4 separate regions of the Mus musculus genome follow, and regions 1, 2 and 3 are each reported to be linked to region 4. Evidence: microRNA targets listed by miRTarBase, many of them from high-throughput screens and not tested one by one. Region 4 holds a microRNA gene; each other region holds the end of a gene's coding sequence.

Region 1 (5,163 bases), not on the chromosome of region 4:
CTTAGGGGGTGTTCTGAGTCCCCAGGCGGTGTCAGTCTGCACAGGTGCTGCTTTCCCACGTCTCTGTCTCCATTAGGGTGAGCATGCTGAAGACAGCATCCAGGAATCACTCATTCCAATGATGGTTGCTTTGAGAGGAGTCAATTAACATAGGATGATTTCATTTCCCAAGTCATCCTCATCTCCTAATGCCCTGGGGGTGGGAGGCTGCCAGTCTCCTGAATTCTTGGAAACTCACTTTTCTAGCTCTTAATGGCAATCATGCTGGCTGCCTGCTGATTTACATCCCCCAGACAGTAAGTACTCATCAGTGGAAGCTGCAGCCACACCAACAGCCTGAGTCCAGAGGCTGTGCAGCACCATGGCCATGGCCTGCCCTCTGCTGGTCACGAGACTTCCAGGGCAACAGCAGCAAGGTGCTAAGCAAAAGCAGACTGGTTTTGTTTTCTGTTCTGTGAAGTCCTTTGGTATTCCACAATGTCTATGAAGTCCTTCTCAAAGTAATATTTTTGAAACCTGTGACAATGAGGTTATTATGTTGATTACAAATGAAACTGACCATCAGGATAAATAGGTATCTTTAAAAAAAAATTTTTTTTAATTGTTTTTTTATTTTTGGTTTTTTCTTTTTTTCGTTTTTGTTTTTTGTTTTTCTGAGACAGGGCCTCTTTGTGTAGTCCTGGCTGTCTTAGAACTCACTCTGTAGACCAGGCTGGCCTTGAACTCAGAAATCTGCCTGCCTCTGCCTCCCAAGTGCTGGGATTAAAGGCATGTGCCACCACTGCCCGGCTACCAATGACTTCGGAAAACTGTAGCTACACAGTTAATAAGACATATGCATGGACACAACCAACTGGACCTAACAATGCAGGTTGAGTCACTATGATTTAAAAATGAGGAAAAAATGGTGTAGTGTGGAACGCCGTTGGTTTCCCTGGGTGACAGTTACAAGCCCCACTGATACCTCTGGGGTTGTTGCCACCTCCACTAAGAAGGAAAACACTCAATTTCAGGCAGGAAAACTAAAGACCACATCTTTTGACAAACAAATGCAGAGATACCCCCAATTCTACCCGTGGACCCCAGGGTAAGAACACAAGCAATGTTTTGAGAGGTACAGTCAGACAAATGTAAACTATATTTCTATTTGTCCCCCTAGAATCAGAGACAGAGCCCAGACCCATGTACAAGCTAGGGCATTCAACCACCATGTTAAGTCTGTCCTGGAAAATTCTTTTAAGATACAGCATTGATGGCAAGAAGTGGCAGCTGGAGAGAGGTGTGGTAGCACCATCAGGGGGACAAACTCCAGGGTTGAATTCCATGGGTGTCCCTCGGCCGTGTCCTGAGATTTGGGCTCTGCGCAAAATCTACTTTCTTATCAGAGTTATGGAAAAAATTCAGTCCATTAACATACAAAATCTGGGGGTGTTTGTTAACCAATGTTTGTCTTTGAATCGGAATGATATTAAATGGCCAGAGAGAATATGGTCTCTTTCCTCTCTCTTTGGGGTTCCATCAGAAACCCCAGAGTCTGACCTGCTGCCTGATGGAGGAGGCTCTCACATACTCAGAGGATAAGCCCTTCCTTGCTGAGCAAGCACAGGAGGCCCACCTATCTTCTCTTTCCAACCAGAAAGAACAACAGTGCTTGCAAATCACCTTATTACTTTATTAGAAGCATATTTACATTCTTTTTTTGTTTGCAGAGAACAGTTTACAAATATCCACGGTGCTTGGAAATGCATACACGTTATTTCCATCCTTCATGAAGGGAAATATAAGTTAGTTATATTTACTGCGCTAAAAACACTTCTGCCTGTTCCTATACAGAAAAGATTAGCACAGGGCATGAGGAATACTGCGTGGGCCCTTGGTGGTGGCAGGCATTGCACTTACGCTATAATTATGAGGCTGGAAGACTAGGCTAGACCCCACTCCAAAAGGCACAGCAGAGCTACCAGGGCTCAGGTGGTACTAAGTGCAGATTCAACAAAGGACTGGAACATTACGAATGATGTCAGGGAGCGGTCAAAGACTGTTATATGAACCACAAAACTAGCATTTTGCCTAATAGCCACTGTCAAGTCCCCTGAAAGCAAGTATCCCTGCCCGGCCTCCTGTGGCGTGGCCTGGCCCATCTGCCCTCTGAGTCAACTCCTTGATGTGAGGCCTGAAAGCAAGCGAAGGCTCACTCGCTCCCCTGAGAACTATGGCCTTCCTGGGGTTCTGTGAGCTTCTTTACTGCACACTAGATCTGGGAGTCCCAAGACCTGTTTTCCTATTTTTTTTCTAGCCCACTCCCTCCCAAGCACCCAGTTTTCATTTGAGGAAACTTTTTAGAAAGTTGCTTCAGCATCGGGCAGTGACAGAGAAATACTGCTAAGGTCTCAGCCACTCGCCAGACTCAACCGCCTGGGTCCCCCCTCCCCCACCCCACCCCATTGTCCCTGGGAAGGGGCTTTTTAAAAAGAGGGTGTCTGAGGCAGCCAGCCATTTGCCTGTACTGTAACTGAGCACTTAGGCTGCTTTTCTTCTATGGGGCTCAGCCTCTTGGGAGGCTACCTGAGCAGCCCGAAGGCCCAGTCATGGAGGCTCCACATTTCCCTGAGCGCAGCATGTTCCTGAGGGTGGGGAACAGTTCTTCCTGAACAGAGAAGTCCAAAGCTTAGTGGAAATGTACAGTGGGACTCCAGTACAGGACTAGGGCAGAAGTCAAAAGCCTTCCTGGGTACCTGCAGACAAGCGGGCAAGGGTGAGATTGGCACGTGCTAGGCAGCAGAAGTCAAGTGTGGAGGGGGGTGTACCCCTGAACACGGGATCCTGTGTGCAGCCAAATGAGTTGCAGGCTGGCAGTACAGCCTGTGCCTTCTCTGGGTTCTGGCGCCAGCACTCAGCATGGCCCCACCAGCTGCTCCACCTGACATGCTCAGTGGCCCTGGATCAGGCTCAGGAGGCAAGCAAGCAGGTTCCAATGCATTGGTCCTAGGAGGTCACAGCAGAGGCAGCCTGGGTGGTGTCAGGGGGGCCAAGTTATGTATTTGCAGTGTGTGTGTGTGTGTGTGTGTGTGTGTGTGTGTGTGTGTGTGTGTGTGTGTGTATTGCATGTCTCACAGGGAGAGGAAAATAAGATGGGATACAATGTCAGAATCAGCAGAACAGGCATCTCTGGCATCCTTCTCCACGCTCCCTACCCCGACATACACAAAGCAAAGTCAGCTATGTGAAACAAGGGAATGGGGACACCCGGGAGCTGGCTGCTGAGAACCCAAGTGGCTCTTAGGGATGTTTCCCGACACTGTGAGGAATTACTGAAGGCAAACAAACAAACAGACAAACAAACAAAAAACCCACAAGGATCACAATAAGGATGCGTTCGCGGTGATGTCATTAGTAGCGCTTGTGCCCACAGACAGTAGAGCTGGTGTTTGGGCAAACAGGAGGGGTTCACCCATCCTGCCTGGCCCCTGACCTCAACAGTCTAAATCACTCCTAGGTGATGGGAATCTGAGTCTTGAGGAGGTCACCGTGCACCAAGGTGGCACTGTGGACAACTGGGGCGCTGCAGGGGGATGGGTAATTGAGCTGGCACAGAAGCAAGAGGAAGAGGTCCTGAGTCACTTGTTCATAGAGGCTTGGGGGCCCCAGTAGCCACGCTGCCCACCGCAGCCCAGGCTTGTGGGTGTTAGGAAGCATCCCCAGAGCTGTAGGGGAAGAAGTTGCTGGCTTTGCTGGGTGTGGTGGGTCTGGGCTCTGCCTCCTCGCTTAATTTGAAGAACATTTCCTGTTCCCGCTTCTTCTGGTTCAAATCCTCTTCCAGGGCCTGGGGAAGCGAGAGCAGATGGTATTCAGCGGGATGCCAACGATTCCAATCAGAACAGCATGTCCTGCTCTGGACAGCTCCCTGAGGTAAGCACCCCTTCCACCTGCCACACGCCTTCCTGAACTGCTCATGGCCCAGGGCCAATCCTGGGGAACCGCCTGTTAAGGGGCGAGAGGTACAGGCAGGACTCCCGTGATGGGGAAAGAGCAGGATGGATAAAGAAGAGCCAGAGGGGAGGATCTAGCAGAAGAAAGAGATGGCCAAGTGACAGTGCTCACCCCCAGTCAGGACACCCACTGCCTGCGGGAGGGTGTGTGCCTGTCCCTCTGAGGGTCTGAGCTCCTCAGGTAATGGGAGGGGTGCTTTCCAGCTGGCAGCAGCACAGGAGCTTCCGTTGGGCACATGCTCATCTATCCAGATAAACACGATCCTATCAGGAAGACTTCCCAAGAGCACGGGATCAGGAGTGCCAGCTCACAAGGGAAGTTGAAGAGCCAGGAGAGCATGGGCCCTTAGACAAGATCAGGCACCATGTGGGAGGGGAAACTGGATTGGGATTTATGTAAAATTTTCACTTCAGGTTGGCAATTAGACAAACCAAGCCTGGTGAGTTGTGGTGGCAGAGGCGCATACCTTTGCTTGAGACTCGGAAATAGGTAGATTTGTGAGTTCAAGGCCAGCCTGGTCTACAGAGGGAGTCTCGGGGCAACCAGGGCTACACAGAGAAACCCTGTCTCAAAATAAAAAACAAAAAGAACCCCAAAACCCTGAAAATTACTATACTGGCTCAGTGATACAAATATAAACCAAACTGCCCAGGAGACCAGTGTGTGAGCCTCTGGGATCCAGTGTGTGAGCCCTTGGGATCCAGTGTGTGAGCCCCCAGGGGTCTAGTGTGTGAGCCCCCAGGAGACCAGTGTGTGAGCCCCTGGGATCTAGTGTGTGAGCTCCCTGGGATCTAGTGTGTGAACCCCTGGGATCCAGTGTGTGAGCCCCCAGGGATCTAGTATGTGAGCCCCTGGGATCTAGTGTATGAGCCCCAGGGGTCCAGTATGGGATCTGTGAACCCCCCCAGGAATCCAGTGTGTGACCCCCTGGGGTTCAGATGGAGGTGTTGCTCATAGTTCTGCTATTGTTTAGACACAGGGTGGTTTAGTAAGTCGCCCAATTTCAAAGCTAGGAATAGTTGAGCATATCCACTCCAAAAGTTCAAGATGTCCCAAAATTTGAATTCTGAAGTGCTAGTTTGATATAGTGAAAGACACCATTTCTGACCTCACAGGTTGGGTGGCAATCCAAAGGTGGGTGTGCCATAAATACCTCCTGGCTGTGTGTAAGGA
Region 2 (5,163 bases), not on the chromosome of region 4:
GCAGAGTACTTACTCCTGATGAGTTTGTGAATGTTTGGCTTTCAAAAGTAAGCCACCTTGAGAAATGGTTTTCAATTGTGTCTTTAATGTGAAAATTCTTAATCATTTCCTGTGTGTTCTGTTGACTCTGTTTAACATGGCTGTCTCATAGGGCAGCGTTCTTTTTGAGTGATCATTTTATTTTGAATTGAAGCATCTCTGATAGGAAATGACTTTGGCCTTGCTTGGTCAATTCCTTCAGTCGGAATGGAAGGAGTAATGGTGCTCTCTGAGGGGAAGGTAGAGTGAGAAGCATTAGCATTAGGTATAGCACCATTGGCTTCTCCATGAGTAACTTCCTTCTCTTAGTCACAGCCCTTAGAAGGTGTTGTTGTTGTTTGTTTGTTTGTTTGTTTGGAGTGAAGCCATCAGGAGGCAGCACATAGCAGCCTTTGTTCATTAATTGTGACTGTTCCTAGGAGTTTGGGGTAGTCACAAATTCTATTTCCTTCTTTGACTGATCAGTTCAGTGTGGCAGAGTGACAGAGTGACAAACCTGCACGTTCCCTTTTCCAGCAGTGGAATGTGTACACTGGCTGACCAGGGCCACTGGGAGCCGGAGCTCTTGAGACTTGGTACTGTAGTTACATAGCCACCAGATTTCCTTACATCTAAGCTGGTCCTAAACTACAGCAAGGTTGCTAACTGTGCAGCTTTTTAAATACTGCATTTCTTGTATGCCATAATGTAGAAGAGCACAAGTCCCACGCAGAAGCCCTGAACGTCCTTCCTAAGCAGTAACCCGCATTTGCCTTTGCCTAGGTCCCAGCAAGCATCAGAGCGCTGTGACCTGCTTACAGTTCAACAAGAACTTCGTAATTACCAGCTCAGACGACGGAACGGTCAAACTCTGGGACTTGAAAACGGGTGAATTTATCCGAAACCTCGTCACATTGGAGAGTGGGGGGAGCGGGGGAGTTGTGTGGCGGATCAGGGCCTCAAACACAAAGCTGGTGTGTGCAGTCGGGAGTCGGAATGGAACTGAGGAAACCAAGCTCCTGGTGCTGGACTTTGATGTGGACATGAAATGAAAAGCAGACATGATGAATTTTGTCCAACTGTGTAGACAATATACTCCCTACCCTTCCCCCTGCGCAAAAAACAAAAACAAACAAACAAAAAAATGAAAAAAAAAAACAGAAAAAAAAAAAGAGAAAAAAGAAAAGGAAAAAAATCCCTTGTACTCAGTGGTGCAGGATGTTGGCTTGGGACAACAGACTGAAAAGACCTACAGACTAAGAAGGCAAGAAGAGACAAGAGACCGTAACTGACAGGAGGCGGCAGCTGTCGCATCTCGCAAAGGCCTCACTTGTGACTGAGGGGCAGCTTGGCAAGACGACTCTCTAAATCCAACCAGGTGCAATTATTCTTTGTTTTCTTCTCCAGTGGTCATTGAGCAGAGCTACATCAGCGTTGTTACCGTCACCTAGAAAGGAGTGGCAGTAATATCCAAACACGGGCTGCTTATCTTCTAATCAGAGCATCTGCAACAAACCGTCATTTTTCTGAAGTGGAAAAGCTTAAAACAATTACTGTGAATTGTTTTTGTACAGTTATCATGAAGCTTTCTTTTTTCTCTTTTTCCTGTTTCTCTTCTTTTCTTTTTTCTTTTTTTTTTTTGCCAACCATTGCCAATGTCAATCAATCACAGTATTAGCCTCTGTTAATCTATCTCTTTACTGTTGCTTCTACTCTTCAATGCATATGTTGCTCAAAGGTGGCAAGTTGTCCTGGGTTGTGTGAGTCCTGAGATGGATATAATTCTTGATGCTGGTGCTAGAAGTAGGTCTTCAAATCCGGGGTCGTTGTCCCACCCCTGTACTGTACTCCCAGTGGCCAAACTTATTTATGCTGCTAAATGAAAGAAAGAAAAAGCAAATTATTTTTTTTTTATTTTTTTTCTGCTGTGACGTTTTAGTCCCAGACTGAATTCCAAATTTGCTCTAGTTTGGTTACAGAAAAAAAAGACTTTTTTGCCACTGAAACTTGAGCCATCTGTGCCTCTAAGAGGCTGAGAATGGAAAAGTTTCAGATAATAAAGAGTGAAGTTTGCCTGCAAATAAAGAATTGAGAGTGTGTGCAAAGCTTATTTTCTTTTATCTGGGCAAAAATTAAAACACATTCCTTGGGACAGAGCCTGAGGTGCCTGTTCTGTGGAGAAACTTCTTTTTGAGGGCTGTGGTGAATGGAAGAACATACATAGCAAAACTGACAAGATATTTTAAAGATATATAAAACACAAAGGAAAAGGAGGTTGCTGGTCAGTCGTAGCATCTTACAGTATTGGGGAAAACAACTGTTACAGTTTCATTGCTCTGAGTGACTGACGTGAGAGGAATTCGCTCTGCAGTGACGCTGTCTGTCACTCGCCTACCAGCTCGACGAGCAAGAGAGCGGGAGTCAGATGGTCCGCCTCATTCACCAGGAGCCGTAACTCAAGCTGAACTGTGAAAGTGGTTAACACTGTATCCTAGGCCGTCTTTTTTTTCCTCCTCCTGTTTATTTTTTGTTTGTTTTATTTATAGTCTGATTTAAAACAATCAGATTCAAGTTGGTTAATTTTAGTTATGTAACAACCTGACGTGATGGAGGAAACAACCTGTAAAGGGATTGTGTCTATGGTTTGATTCACTTAGAAATTTTATTTTCTTATAACTTAAGTGCAATAAAATGTGTTTTTTCATGTTATTGCGCCTGTTTCTTCCACTAGATAATACTGTTTCATTATAACTATATAGTATTTGTGTCAGATATTTTAAATAGTCAAGTTTTGGGTTTCTTACATCCCCTGCATTGTGACTTAGAAACCAGCACTTCCGAGCTCAGCCAAAGCTGAGGCACTGCAGATGGCACCCCGAGCTGTCAGGGAGGCCACTCTTCTGTTTGCATTGTGTGTATGAACATGAAAGCTCGTTTCTTCAGTCATAAAACTTGGAATTACAACTAGAAGCCTTGTAATAATGAGTTCACCTTCAAATCCCATATACCAAGTGTTCACCAAAGCACTCGCACCATTCTTCTCTCAGGCTGAGAGAAGTAGCCTCTGTCACCTTTGACTCAGATGGCCCTGAGAGCTTCAGCTCAGACAGCTTAGGTGGTGCCTTAGATGAAGTCGCGGGATGGCAGGATTGAACTCGTTCCCAAAGGCTGAGTGTACGCTGCCTCTGATGAAATGCTAGCAAACTAAAACAAGGTTTGAGGGGAAATGCCTTGTCTTGTTTTGTTTTTTATAGTATTTACTCTTCTGCTTTTATAGAGGCTAGAAAGGCATACATCTCTAATAATCTCAATAACCCAGGCTATAGGAAATAAATCTTAAATAAACATGGAGTCTTTCTCTGTAGAGAATGAGGTTCTCATAGCCACAGCATCTGTCCTCTTTATTCACAGAGCCACTGTCTTAGTTAGGGTTTCACTGCTGTGAAAAGACACCATGACCAAGGCAACTCTTATAAGGATAACGTTATAATGGGCTGGCTTGCAGGCTCAGAGAGGTTCAGTCCATTATCATCAAGGTGGGAGCATGGCAGCGACTAGACAGTCATGGTGCAGGAGGAGCTGAGAGTCTACATCTTCAACTAAGGTTGCTAGGAGAAGACTTGCTTCCAGGCAACTAAGACAAGGGCCTTAAAGCCCATGCCCACAGTGACACTTACTCCAACAAGGCCACACCTCCTAATGGTGCCACTTTGTGGGCCAAGCATGTACAAACTATCACAGCGACACTGCTCAAAGGCTAAGTCACACTCTATCTTAAAGTGGACCCTGAGCATAAAGAGGCACTGTCTTCCACACTGTTGAAGGAACTCCTTTTGGTTCATTGGACCTCAGCAAGCACACAGTAAGAAAGATGGGACATGCAACAGTGCAGACTGGAGTATTACATGACAGAGAGCAAGGCACAGGTGCAGACTCTGCGGGCTGTGGCAGCTCTGAGAATACCAGAGCCACTGCTGCTGTTCACAGTGGTGACATTGCTCAACAAAAATAATGGGCTGATACAGTTCTTGGAATTAATATTTTCAAAGGGTCACATATATGATGCTGCTGCACTGCGGTATAATTCAAGAAAACACCCACCTTTAAAACATGGCAGAAAATAAGAGCTAACTGGCTTTGCAGATAATCAGCATCCCATTTCTGGTAGTTACTAGATCTCTGATCATTCGACCTCATCTGTCCTCACATTCAGAGGTGGAACAGAGCATCTCCAAGGTTACCATGAGGGTTGGATGGAATGTTACAAACCTCCCACAGGGCTAGCAATATGGCATGGTACACAGGCTTGCTGCCCTTAGGTCTGTCCCCAGGATCCATGATGGAAGGAGAGGACCAACTCTCAAAAGTTATTCTTCGGTTTCCCCACATGCACCATGGCATGTGAATGCCACACCTGCCCCTGTCATGCACACACACAACTTCAGTTTTGAAAAGAACAGACCAGGTCATTGTAATGTTCTGTATTTGACAATTATTTTTATGGCTCATTCAGGTATATAATGAAAGTGGCATAGGTATATATGTTGAGTTTTTATTTATATGTGTGTATTTACTTTAAGTCAGGTCACATAGATTCTGCAGTTTTAGAAAAATATAATACAAACTAATATTGAGCACCTAACAGTGACACTGTGTCTACTCGGGTGTTAAACGTTCTAGGAATATATAAGGTTTGAGGATGTTGGTAGAGAGCTTGCCCAGCATGCATAAAGCCCTGGGTTCAATCCCTAGCACCGCATAAACCAGCCCTTGTGATTCCTGCTGTAACCCCAACGTTCAGAGAGTTGAGACAACAGTTACCCCTGGCAAGTTCTACTTCAGTTCGGGATACAAAAGACCATGTGTCAAAAAAAAAAAAAAAAAAAAAAAGTGGACCTGTTCCTGAAAGAGAATGTGTTTGTCTTATTGTAAAGAAAGTAAGGAGTTGACTGTAGTTGATTTTTTTGTTTTGTTTTGTTTTTTAAATCAGTTTTGCTGAAGGAATTTGCTGCTTTATGTAACTATGTTTTTATAACATTGTAACAAAACCTAATGCTCCAGTTAGGGCACAAAGGTGACCAGGACAGGTGTTCAGTGGTGTTATCAGATGTGGCAAAGGACTGGGCTTTCATTTCTTACTGAAAT
Region 3 (5,163 bases), not on the chromosome of region 4:
CACTAAGCAAGGCTCAAACTGGGGAAACGGGAAGCATTTATAACGTGCTGCTACACAGCGTAAGTAAGGGTAATCGGAAGACAGGAAAGGGAAACCAGACACTGTAGCCCATGCCTGACGAGGTCACGAGTGTGTGTGGGGCACAGTAAAGAAACTGCTGACGTGACCTCTCCATTAAAGACGATTAGAAAGCATCTGGGAAGAAATGAAAGCAGATGGGACATGGCCAGAGTTAGGAAGCAGGAGAGAAGGCACGGGGGTGGGGTGGGGGTGGTGGTAGTGGGGTGGTGGGGAAGGTGGAGAGGAGAGGGGAAGGGAGAGAGAGTGCACACCAGAGAGCAGAGACTAGAAAATACTGAGAGCACACGTCGGGAGGGTTCTAAGTACGAAGAGTAGCTGTGGCGAGGGACAACCTTTGAGGGTGGAACACTCATTTCACAAGTCCCAGAGGTTTTCATTTCTCCACCAGAAGTCATCTGGAGGGCCTGAGACCTAACAATGGGGAGTTGCTGGTGTGGTGACAGGTCTGAATAGCTCCAGTACTGAAAGCAACTGACTGGGACCAAAATGGCTGAGGGACCAAAGAGTGTTGGGGACCTTTGGGCACAGACCATTTGTGTGTCTGAATTTGAACATTTTACATTTTTAAAACAAAAGTGTGCTTGGGTATGGGTGTATGTGTGTGTTTGTGTGTCTGCTATCCCAGTGGTTGGGACAGAGCAAGAGGATCAAGCCCCAAGCTGTGCCTCACGGCAAGAACTGTCTCAAAACCTAAGAAACCCTCCTGTGCACACCAATCTAGCTTCCAGGAGTGTCTCCTAGGGGCCCGCCTGAGGTCATAGGACAAAGCTACGCAGACACTGGCAAGCGGCTGGACCATCAGCGCGCAGCTCACCTCAGGAATGCAATGGGTCTGCTACAGAACATTCACGGTATGAATGACACGTGACAGTGAAGGAATGAAACCCATGGTGACCAACATGAGAAGTGCCACCCACATCTCATTAATGAAAGAAGTCACTCAACAGCTTGGCACCATAGAGGCAGAATGCTGTGGAGTTTGGCACTACCCTGGTCTACATAGTGAGTTCCCAGACAGCCAGGCTATATAGTGTGATCCTATCTCAAGAAAACAAAACAACAAAAACTTTACTATGAAACTTTTGTGTATCAGGTGAAAGTTCCTCATAATTTTATCAAAATATAATGTTTCCTCAGCAAGTGGGAAAAGAACCCTTTGGAAGGGCAAAGAGCTAGGTTTTGTGTACTTAGCTAGAACACAGACCTGTTTTTAAGTCCTCACGCCCCAAAATAAGACGGGGGTGGGGGAATGAGAAAGGGAGAAGGCTTTGGAACTGACAGAGGTGAACTGGTCAGTAAAACTGCAAGGCAGCCAGTCTCTGTCTCCTGGAATCAACACAGAACGTGGGAGTCATTTGATATCTAGGCATCCGATGGTGGTCTAGCTCATGCATGTTTGGCTTTAAAAAACTCTTTTGATACAAGTATGTTTTGTCTGCATGTATGTATGTGCATCGTGTGTGTGTGTGTGTGTGGTGCCTGTAGAGATCAAAAGAGGGCCATATATCCCTTGGAACTTCAGTAATAGATGTCGAGCACTATGTGGATGCTGAGAACTTAACCAGGGTCCTCTGCAAGACATAAACACTCTTAACTACTGCGCCCTATCTACTCCCTTCTGTCTTTTGTATTTATTTACTGAGGCAGGGGCATTCTGTGTAGCCTAGCCTCAAACTTGAAGCAGTCCTCCCACCTCAGCTTTCTTTCTTTCTTTTTTTGTTTGTTTAAGGACAGCATTTTATTGCTACCAGAGGCTTTATCAGCAGTACATGGTCTGACTGCAGTGCCTTCAGTCTGCAAAGGGAGCTCAGGGTCCAGACGCTGCTCAGAGAGAAACAAGGGAATAACTCCTTATCAAGAAAATCCTAATGGCATAATATGAAACTAGGGTACTGAATTAAATTATAAGTTACAGACTCAAATCAGGGCTGCCCCAGTATCTAGACAGTTGCTTCTACTGATTATAAATGAGCAAGAACAGATCAGTTACAAAAAATTACGTGTATATTACATCCATGTTTCTTTGGTGAACACCTGGATATATTAACCTTATCAGAAATTCTTTTATATAAATGTCAAAAATGCTTAAAATGTCCTAATTATGTGCCATTTTATTAAGCTTCAAGATAAACAAAAAAAGGACAATAATAATTTTAAACTAAAAACTGAAATGAGACACACAAAAAAAGAGAACTTTTCCTACTGCCACTGATTCATGGGAATAGCTTCAAAGTGCCCTTTTCAAACTAACATACTTGAACTGTGGATTAAACATGGCTGCCACACAAAGATAATTTACTTACTGAATTAGTTTAAAAGAAAACCACCTCAGCTTTCTAAATGCTAGGATTGTAAGCATGTGTTACCATACCCAGCTCCATCTTTGAAGCCTCACCAGTCAAAACAATTGAGTGGTAAGAAAGGTATGACCCTGAATTCAGCATCAGGGAACCCCTTGTCATGGGCTCATGCAACCTGAGCCATTTCCTGAATGGATGGCAGCCCTACCCAAATCTCAGCTCTCCTGTTCCAAAATGCACAACCGGTGTAGAGAGAGTATGACACCGTGACCAGAGGTCACTCGCCTCAGCTAGAAGGACTACCATCTATTCCAGAAGTCAGGCTACCTTGGTTACTGGTACTCAAACTCGCAAAGGCAGCAAGGCTGGAGCACTATTGTTGTGGAGATTCTCTTGGTCTGGAGATTCTAGAGGACCTGTGGGAATGGAAGACTCTTCCTGCAACAGAATGTGTATAAACAGCTACACTGACACCACCCATGGCTGCTGATTCTTTATTGCACAAGAAACTGGCAATACCGAGGCAGGGCAAGCATCACAAAACAATCTGTCAACCAACTTGGTGCTAGCTAGCACGGGCCTCTCTGTACACACTTCTGCTACACACTCACGCATGTGCGAACGCGTGCACACACACACACACACCTGTGAGCCTGATGCTTCCATCCTTGCTGGCATCTGGTCCCACACCCAGCCATGAAGCAGCCTTTGTGATGTATGTCGGGAGTCCTGAGGTGACTGCATGGGAGAGGAAGGGGTGTGCGACAGTGAGCAGAGCCACTCAGATCAGCATGTGCAGTGTGCCAGGGTCACAGGCTGTACCAGGGAAGGACAAAGGTAGGATGGAACTGTCCTCAGAAGGCCCCATGACTAGTTTGAGAGCATGCCTGGGGTGTCCCAGAGCTAGTGTATCTTGGGAAGCCTGGATGAGGAGTGTGTCGCTATAACCACTCTGGTACCCAAGAGGGGCTGGGCACCTACTCGGGACACTGTCAGGAGCTCCCCAAATGAAGCCAGGCTAATGAGGCAGCTCAGGCCCTTCTGCTGGCTCTTAGTGTCTTCTTCCACAGTCAAATAAAGCCTCATGCTCACATAGCACAAACACTCGGCCAGGCAAGATGCTCTCTCCATTTTAAGCCACCATAAGCTGCAGAGGCCCTAACTAGGGGAGTCTAGCAAAGGAGTCTCGTCAGCATCTGAGCACAGCGGGGATGCACTGGACCATAGAGGCAGGCCTCTGAGCTGGCGCAAGTGTTAAGCAGGCTCCTGAGAGGAGCAGCTGCTTGGGAAGCTACTGAATCAAGAGGGCTGAGCCCTCCACCACCCAGGGCACCAGGTCCTTGACAGAAGGTGAGAAGAGCATGCCTACAACACAACAAGCAACAGCCCTATGCATGGATGTGGATGTGTCTTTAGGTTTCTGTCAAAGGGCAAAGCCTGAGCTCTGCTGTCTCCTTCCCACTGACACCCAGGTGGTGGCTTCTTTAACCCTTTGCTTGCTAGGAAGAGACGAGCTGGTGGCATTGGGTGCCTGCTGCTCAGTCCCCTTGGCTGCAGCCTGCCAGGAAGTAAAGCAAAGCCGGTTTTGATGCTCAGTTGTTCCCTTAGGTCTGTTCCATGGACTTCAGGGAAGGTCTACAAAAGTGAAGTCTCTTCCACTGGCAGAGCCTTGGCTTTCTGGGTTTAGTCAGCCAGCCATTCCACGAGGCCTAGCTCCTCATGGAACATATGAGGCCCAGCTTCAGTGGCAGCCCTCTAAGGCAGGGCATGTTCCCTCACACTCTCACACACACCCAGACTCAGTCCTAGTGGAAGGGGCAGTTTTGCAGAGAAGGGCAGCCCTCTGGCTTTGCAACAGGTAATAGAGTCAAAGGTGACAGTGCTTTATTCCAGACTGCCATCATCAGAGAGAAGAAAGGGTCCCCAAGGCCTCTGGGGTCAGACTCTTCAGTCACCGAAATGATCAAGGCACAGTCTCGTGCAGGGCCACTATCCAAAGGGGCCTCTTGAGGGCTGTGCAACCGGTGGCATCTCCGGCAGGAAGGACTCAGGACTACATGTGCTAGAGGGTGTGAGACAGCAGCCTCAGCTACTCCTGTCCGAACCCCTCAGTCTCCTCGATGGCGTACAGCAGCTTCTCTTTCAGCTGCTCGTAGCTCTTATAGGGAGGCAGGTCCAGACGGTTGAAGCTGTGACAGAGAGAGAGGAGTAGCCCCGGGAGGAGGCCAGGGCTCTGGTGCCCTGCCCCCACCAGCCTACAGCTCCAGCCTGCCAGCTCCCGGCAAACTCACCACGTATGGCTCCTGGGCAGCCAGGTTTCCTTGCCAACTCTGTCGATGCAGAACTTCTGCGGGCCATTGCTCCCTGTCATTCAAGGCAACGTGTACTTTGTGTCAACACAGATGGTCTTTCCCAAAGTAACCAAGTGCCACAGCTCTTTCCCTCCCAGCTCCAGCTGCACTTGCCCCATGCTGTCCCTCCCCCAGGGAGGGCCCCAGAAGGGCAGAAGGAAACGCACCGATGAGCTCAGCAAATCCCCCAACAGGCAGACGGCAGGTTCCCGTGACAAACTGCAGTAGCCGGATCCTCTTCTCATTGTCCATCTCCTTGACAACCTGGAGGTCCACAAGACAGACAGACGTCCCCAGTCAGACTTCAGACCCTAGCACGGACCTTTCCAGGCCAACTCGACACACACAGACACCAATCTGGGACCTTCAAAGATGCTTTCTCTAAGGATATTTGTAGAACATTCATAAGGGTCCCATGGGATACCTGGGTC
Region 4 (5,163 bases):
GATACTGACTCTTCCTGGGCTTTGCCTTATCTTCTAGGTGTGTGAGATAATTGAGAGTCCGCTCTTTCTGAAGTTGAACCCTATGACCAAGCACACAGATGTGAGTGTTGTTGACCCAATGTCCCCTTTTTCTTGATCATCTGCCACTATGCCTTTGCTCTAATTTACCGACATTATGTGTATTAGAGAAAGCTTGAGTTGAATCTCTACCCTGCTGTTTACACCCATCAGTTGTGTGACTTCATCTCTTCAGTGGTGTTTCCATATGTAATGTGTGTAAAACCTAGAGAAAGCATGAGCCAAGTGTGGTGACAACACTTGTAACCAATCTTAGCACTCAGGAGATTGAGGCAGGATTGTGAGTTCAAAGCCAGCCTGGCATGTGTGTAAGTTCAAGTGCATTTGCTTTTAGTAAGAGCTGTTCTCTTGTCTCCGTCTGTGTTTTTACAGCTTCCTGTCAGCGTTTTTGAGTCTGTCATCGATATAATCAATGGAGAGGTAATATATAACCTGCAACCTTCAAACCTTTTAGCCTGTTTCCTGCATGCCGTGTGCAGGCATAGGACAACCCTGGGTGTCCATCCTAGCTTTCTACCTTGGGACAGACTCACTTGTTTGCCAGGCAGGTTGGCCTGTGAGCTTCTGGGAATTGTGTCTCCACTTCCCATCTTGCTGTAGGGGTTCCAGGATTACAGTCACATGCTGTCACATCTCACTTAATGTGGGTTCCGAGGCTCTAAATTGAGATCCTCAGTTGTGCAGCAAGTACTCTACCTGCTGAGCCATCTGCCTAGGCCTAGGTCTGTTTCCTGACTCTCCCTATCTGAGAACTCTTTACTCTGCAGGCCACAATGCTGTTTGCTGAGCTCACTTACACTCTGGCCACTGAGGAAGCTGAACGGATCGGTGTAGACCACGTGGCCCGGATGACAGCAACAGGCAGTGGGGAGAACTCCACTGGTAAGGGAGGGGAATTCAGTCTTTGGAGGTAGGGGTTGGGTGTGGCCACAGGCCGCCCTTCATTTGCCCCATTCCCCTGCAGTGGCTGAACACCTGATAGCTCAGCATAGTGCCATCAAGATGCTGCACAGCCGTGTGAAGCTCATTTTAGAATATGTCAAGGCCTCTGAAGCAGGTAGGAGAGGTGCCTGTCACTTTGAAACATTTTTCCTCTCCTGGAAAAGTGACAGCATCCACATCAGTGCAGCCTCCTTGTGTCCTTAGGAGAGGTTCCCTTCAACCATGAGATCCTGCGGGAGGCCTATGCCCTATGTCACTGTCTTCCAGTTCTCAGCACTGACAAGTTCAAGACAGACTTTTATGATGTGAGTGTTGACACCTTTGATGGGGAGGTGGGGCTCACACCACCTCACAGGTAGGAGGTGAAACTCAAGTGTCACTGGCTAATACGAGGGACCCCTGGGGAACTGGTTCTTTGTGTTCCCTCCCAGCAATGCAATGACGTGGGGCTCATGGCCTACCTCGGCACCATCACCAAAACGTGCAACACAATGAACCAGTTTGTGAACAAGTTCAACGTCCTCTACGACCGACAAGGCATTGGCCGGCGAATGCGGGGACTGTTTTTCTGATGATGGTTCTGGAAGGGATGGTGTGTGGGGCTCAGACAGCTGTTCCATGGACCTGAGTACCACATTCCCTTTAGAGAAACTCATTAATAAAAGAGCAGCCCCTTAGCAGCCCTTCCAGTGGCTTTGTCCTCTCAGGCACCACACTGGTTTCTCAACATGGACTCTTAAGGAAGCTTCACCCATTAATCCACATTTTTTGACCACCTACCCACCTTTTAATGACTCGAGGTGACCCCTTGTTGAAGTAGACAAAATGTGATAGGACGACCTGCTTGCTTCCAGTTTTTGTGCTCTGTGATCAATTCATGTCACAGCTCCACAGAAAGATTGCTTTCCCAGGCTAATTTAATTTCACTGCAAATGTTTCTCAAATAGGAAGGGGAGGGAAGCTGAATTCCATCTTTGTAATTGTGGTTATCTCAAGTCCTTGTTTTTCTATATCCTGAAGGTACCTAGGAGGGTGATATGTACCTCATCCTTAGGCCTTCCACTTAAGTCATACCTTGTGCTAGGCGCAACTTTCTGCCCTTCACATCCTGGTGTCATCACGTCTAGATGTGGGGGTCTAACAAACGAAATGTCCATAATTGGAAGCATCTCAAGAAACAGTGGTCCCAAGGCCTTCTATCTCCCAGATTGACTAGCACATAGTAAGGGTCAGTACTAGAGACTAGGGGAGGAGAGAGCATACTAAAAACTCTACAGAGTTATTAACAAGCAAGAGGCAATCAAAACACTTTATTGGCAGAATAAAAAAGTGCAGCATGGGAGAATGAGATTTTTTCTTGAGGGGGCATTCAGCATGCCCTCTGGTGTAGGCAGGAGGGTGTAAAAACTGGCTATCAGACAAAGGTGATCCGTGTCCGAGAAGTATTAACCTGCCAGACATTTAGCTCCTCATATTCATCCAGAGCTGCCTGGAACTGGGCTGGTGTGAAGCCACGAGATATGCAGCGCTGTTCAGCCTCAGAAAAGTGGACACTCCGCCCCCGTGACACCAATTCACGGATGGTGGCAAATATCACATCTGCTGGCCTCTGGGTCCTAAAAGACAAGGATGGAAAAGGTGAAGGTGCAAGGCCACAAACAGTAGCAGCAATCAGCATCAAAACCCTGAGGGCAAGCCAGGTCAATAAGCCCAGTGGTCCAGTCTCACTCTTCATTAAAATCCTCACCTAGCTGTCTGTCCCTTTTCACCTAGAAGGGAGTCCTTCGACATCTCCATCAACCTTATGGCTTCATTTACATCTTCCTTCTCCACAATGTCTACCATCCGAAGTCGAGCCTAAGGGGAAGGCATAGAAAAGATTGGGATAGGAGGGGAGGAGGGGAATGAAGTCAAGGATCTTTCTTTGCTCCAGCTTCAAGCCTGGGCAAGCCACATTTGCCTACTCATTGAACAAAAATGGGGACTCCTCCCTGCCCCCCCACATCTGCAGTGTTGGGCCGGCACTGTCAGACCGAGACAAGTGCAATGCCCAGGGCAGCGTCCAGCAATTGCCCAAGTCTCCGCCTCTCAACACTGGCCAGTCCCGGTGGGTGTTCAGCTGTCCTGTGAGGGAGACCAGACCCTTCTGAACTCCACTAGGCTCCCCATCAAACAAATGGAGCCTGGGGCGCTCAGCTAGGGCCACTATCAGAGGTTGTGTCCTGGGGGCTCGGGAAGTGCTAGCTCAGCAGTAGGTCAGGTAATTACACTACCTGCACGAACAGCACTTTGGAGCCCCCATGACTAAGGTCCAAGAGGGGAGGACAGAATGGAGATTTCTAAGATCATATCTAGGACACCAGGAATTCAAGTCCTAGCCCTCATGGATTCAAGCAGCAAGCAGCCTTTCCCTCCATGGGCGTTGCACGTGCCCTGCTGGAGCAGCAAGTACCCACAGTGCGGTAGCACAGAGAGGACCACTATCTGCACTGTCAGCACTTTAGTCCCAGCAGGGCTGGTAGGAGGGAAGGAGGCGGCTTGAGGGTCATTAGGTGAGGTGGCAGGCAGGGGTCAGCTTTCCAGCTGACAGGGACCCACCACTCACCAGAGCAGTGGAAAGTCGGAGAATGGCCAGCAGGGTCCGGGCAGAAGTATAGGTGGCATCCTTACTGGCCCGGGCCTCTCGCCTCATCTCCACATATGCTGCGGTGATGTAGTCAGCCAGAGATTCAGGCACTGTGGGCTGTCTCTCGTGGCACATGGCTATGTACCGTCTGTGGGAAACAAGGTTCATGGGAAAGCGGGAAAGCAGGCAGGCTTTATGAGATTCCCCACTTAATATTCTATGCTGACGTGGACAGTGAGGGATTTCTCCAAAACAGGGCTGCCAGGACACTTCAAGTAACTTCCAACTTTTCAGGAGAATGACATTTACCAAAGCACCTGTAGTGGGAGGATTTAACTTAACCCCTTGACAGACTTCAGAGACCATGTGAAAACCAGTTTAGAAACCCGAGTCATCTGTGCCATGGAAGCACTTATGGCCAAAAAGCTAGACCTGCCTCGGACAGGATTTAGAGAGTGAGAGAGGTTCCTTTATATACAGGAGGGAAGTAGTTTTTGGAGACATCCCCAAAATGACTCAGGTTTCAGAGTAGCTAGGATTATATAAGGCCTGCTGCTCTGTCATCCCAAAACAGAAAAAAAGTTTCTGATGATCCCTTGGCTACAGAGAGACCCAGGCTCAGCTACTTTTGAGGCTGAAATAGATAAGCAGATGAGTCCTTTCAAGACTCAATGCTTTCCAGACACACTTGGCATAAGACAATGCCACAGACCAGTACTCTCCCCAGACATACCCATCTCCACCCCTCCTACCTCATAAGTTTCATGTCCAAAGGTTCAAATTGGGCAGGGGGCTGCCGGCTGTGCTGGTGGACATAGGTGATGTGCTGGGCCAACCTGGAGAGAAGACGGGCGTCAGTCTTTAGAGCTCTAACACCCTGAGAATCTTGACTCAGTATCCCCTTTTAGCACCACCTCTTCTCCAAAGCATGGCAGACAGGCCTCCCAGAAAACCCTCAAGATCTTAGCTCCAACCTATCTCCATATGAACTGCAAACAAGGAAAGGTGTTTAAGGTGTCTGCACACAGACAAGTTGAGTGGCTTTCTGATTTTACCTCCCTGCCCCAAAGTCACTAAAATGGGCTGTCTCTATGGGTGTCATCTACTTCATTCACCGGAGGTCATTGTCTCTGTCGGGCCGGTCTTGAATCAGCCAGAGGAGGTCGAATCGAGAAAGCAGAGCAGCCGGAAGCTGGACGTTCTGCTCCAGACTGCGGCGGGGATTATATCGGCCGTAGGCAGGATTGGCCGCAGCCAGGATGGAGCATCGGGCATTGAGCGTGGTGAGAATCCCCGCCTTGGCGATGGAGATGGTCTGCTGCTCCATAACCTCATGGATGGCTGTGCGGTCAGCCTCGGCCATCTTGTCAAACTCATCAATGCAGCACACGCCCTGGTCAGCCAGCACCAGGGCACCGCCCTCTAAAGTCAGTTCTCCACTCACAGAGTCTCTCAACACAGCTGCTGTGAGCCCTACACCAGAGGAGCCACGGCCTGTTGTGTACTGACCTGCAAAG

Evidence for each region. Region 4 holds the annotated microRNA mmu-miR-25-3p (CAUUGCACUUGUCUCGGUCUGA, at 3,048-3,069, opposite strand). A microRNA usually pairs through its seed, bases 2 to 8, with sites in the 3' UTR of a target mRNA and lowers its output. Matches are read on the target gene's strand: a 7mer-m8 pairs with bases 2 to 8, a 7mer-A1 pairs with bases 2 to 7 and ends in A, and an 8mer does both.
Region 1: miRTarBase lists Stk10 as a target of mmu-miR-25-3p. Seed matches in the 3' UTR shown: 7mer-A1 at 3,100-3,106 and 7mer-m8 at 1,889-1,895.
Region 2: miRTarBase lists Fbxw7 as a target of mmu-miR-25-3p. Seed matches in the 3' UTR shown: 7mer-m8 at 1,397-1,403 and 8mer at 2,700-2,707.
Region 3: the mRNA of Wwp2 is a reported target of mmu-miR-25-3p. Seed matches in the 3' UTR shown: 8mer at 2,877-2,884.

What each region holds. Positions count from the first base shown.
Region 1 is chr11:32,621,084-32,626,246 of GRCm38, reverse strand. It overlaps Stk10 (serine/threonine kinase 10), which reads right to left. Exons shown (of 19, transcript NM_009288.2): 19 at 1,652-3,823. The coding sequence ends at 3,686. Among named protein-coding and RNA genes, the nearest start is that of Fbxw11, 19 kb to the left of the region's middle.
Region 2 is chr3:84,976,472-84,981,634 of GRCm38, forward strand. It overlaps Fbxw7 (F-box and WD-40 domain protein 7), which reads left to right. Exons shown (of 14, transcript NM_001177773.1): 14 at 802-2,727. The coding sequence ends at 1,070. Among named protein-coding and RNA genes, the nearest start is that of Gm30944, 44 kb to the right of the region's middle.
Region 3 is chr8:107,556,294-107,561,456 of GRCm38, reverse strand. It overlaps Wwp2 (WW domain containing E3 ubiquitin protein ligase 2), which reads right to left. Exons shown (of 24, transcript NM_025830.4): 22 at 4,900-4,996; 23 at 4,673-4,745; 24 at 2,167-4,570. The coding sequence ends at 4,471. Among named protein-coding and RNA genes, the nearest start is that of Mir140, 7.6 kb to the right of the region's middle.
Region 4 is chr5:138,162,285-138,167,447 of GRCm38, forward strand. Mir25 (microRNA 25) reads right to left here and starts at 3,120; the gene lies at 3,037-3,120. It overlaps Cops6 (COP9 signalosome subunit 6), which reads left to right. Exons shown (of 10, transcript NM_012002.3): 5 at 38-100; 6 at 451-498; 7 at 846-960; 8 at 1,043-1,135; 9 at 1,225-1,325; 10 at 1,452-1,700. The coding sequence ends at 1,592. Mcm7 (minichromosome maintenance complex component 7) reads right to left here. Exons shown (of 15, transcript NM_008568.3): 11 at 4,762-5,155; 12 at 4,399-4,482; 13 at 3,626-3,794; 14 at 2,768-2,877; 15 at 2,299-2,636. The coding sequence ends at 2,435. It overlaps Mir93 (microRNA 93), which reads right to left and starts at 3,326; the gene lies at 3,239-3,326. It also overlaps Mir106b.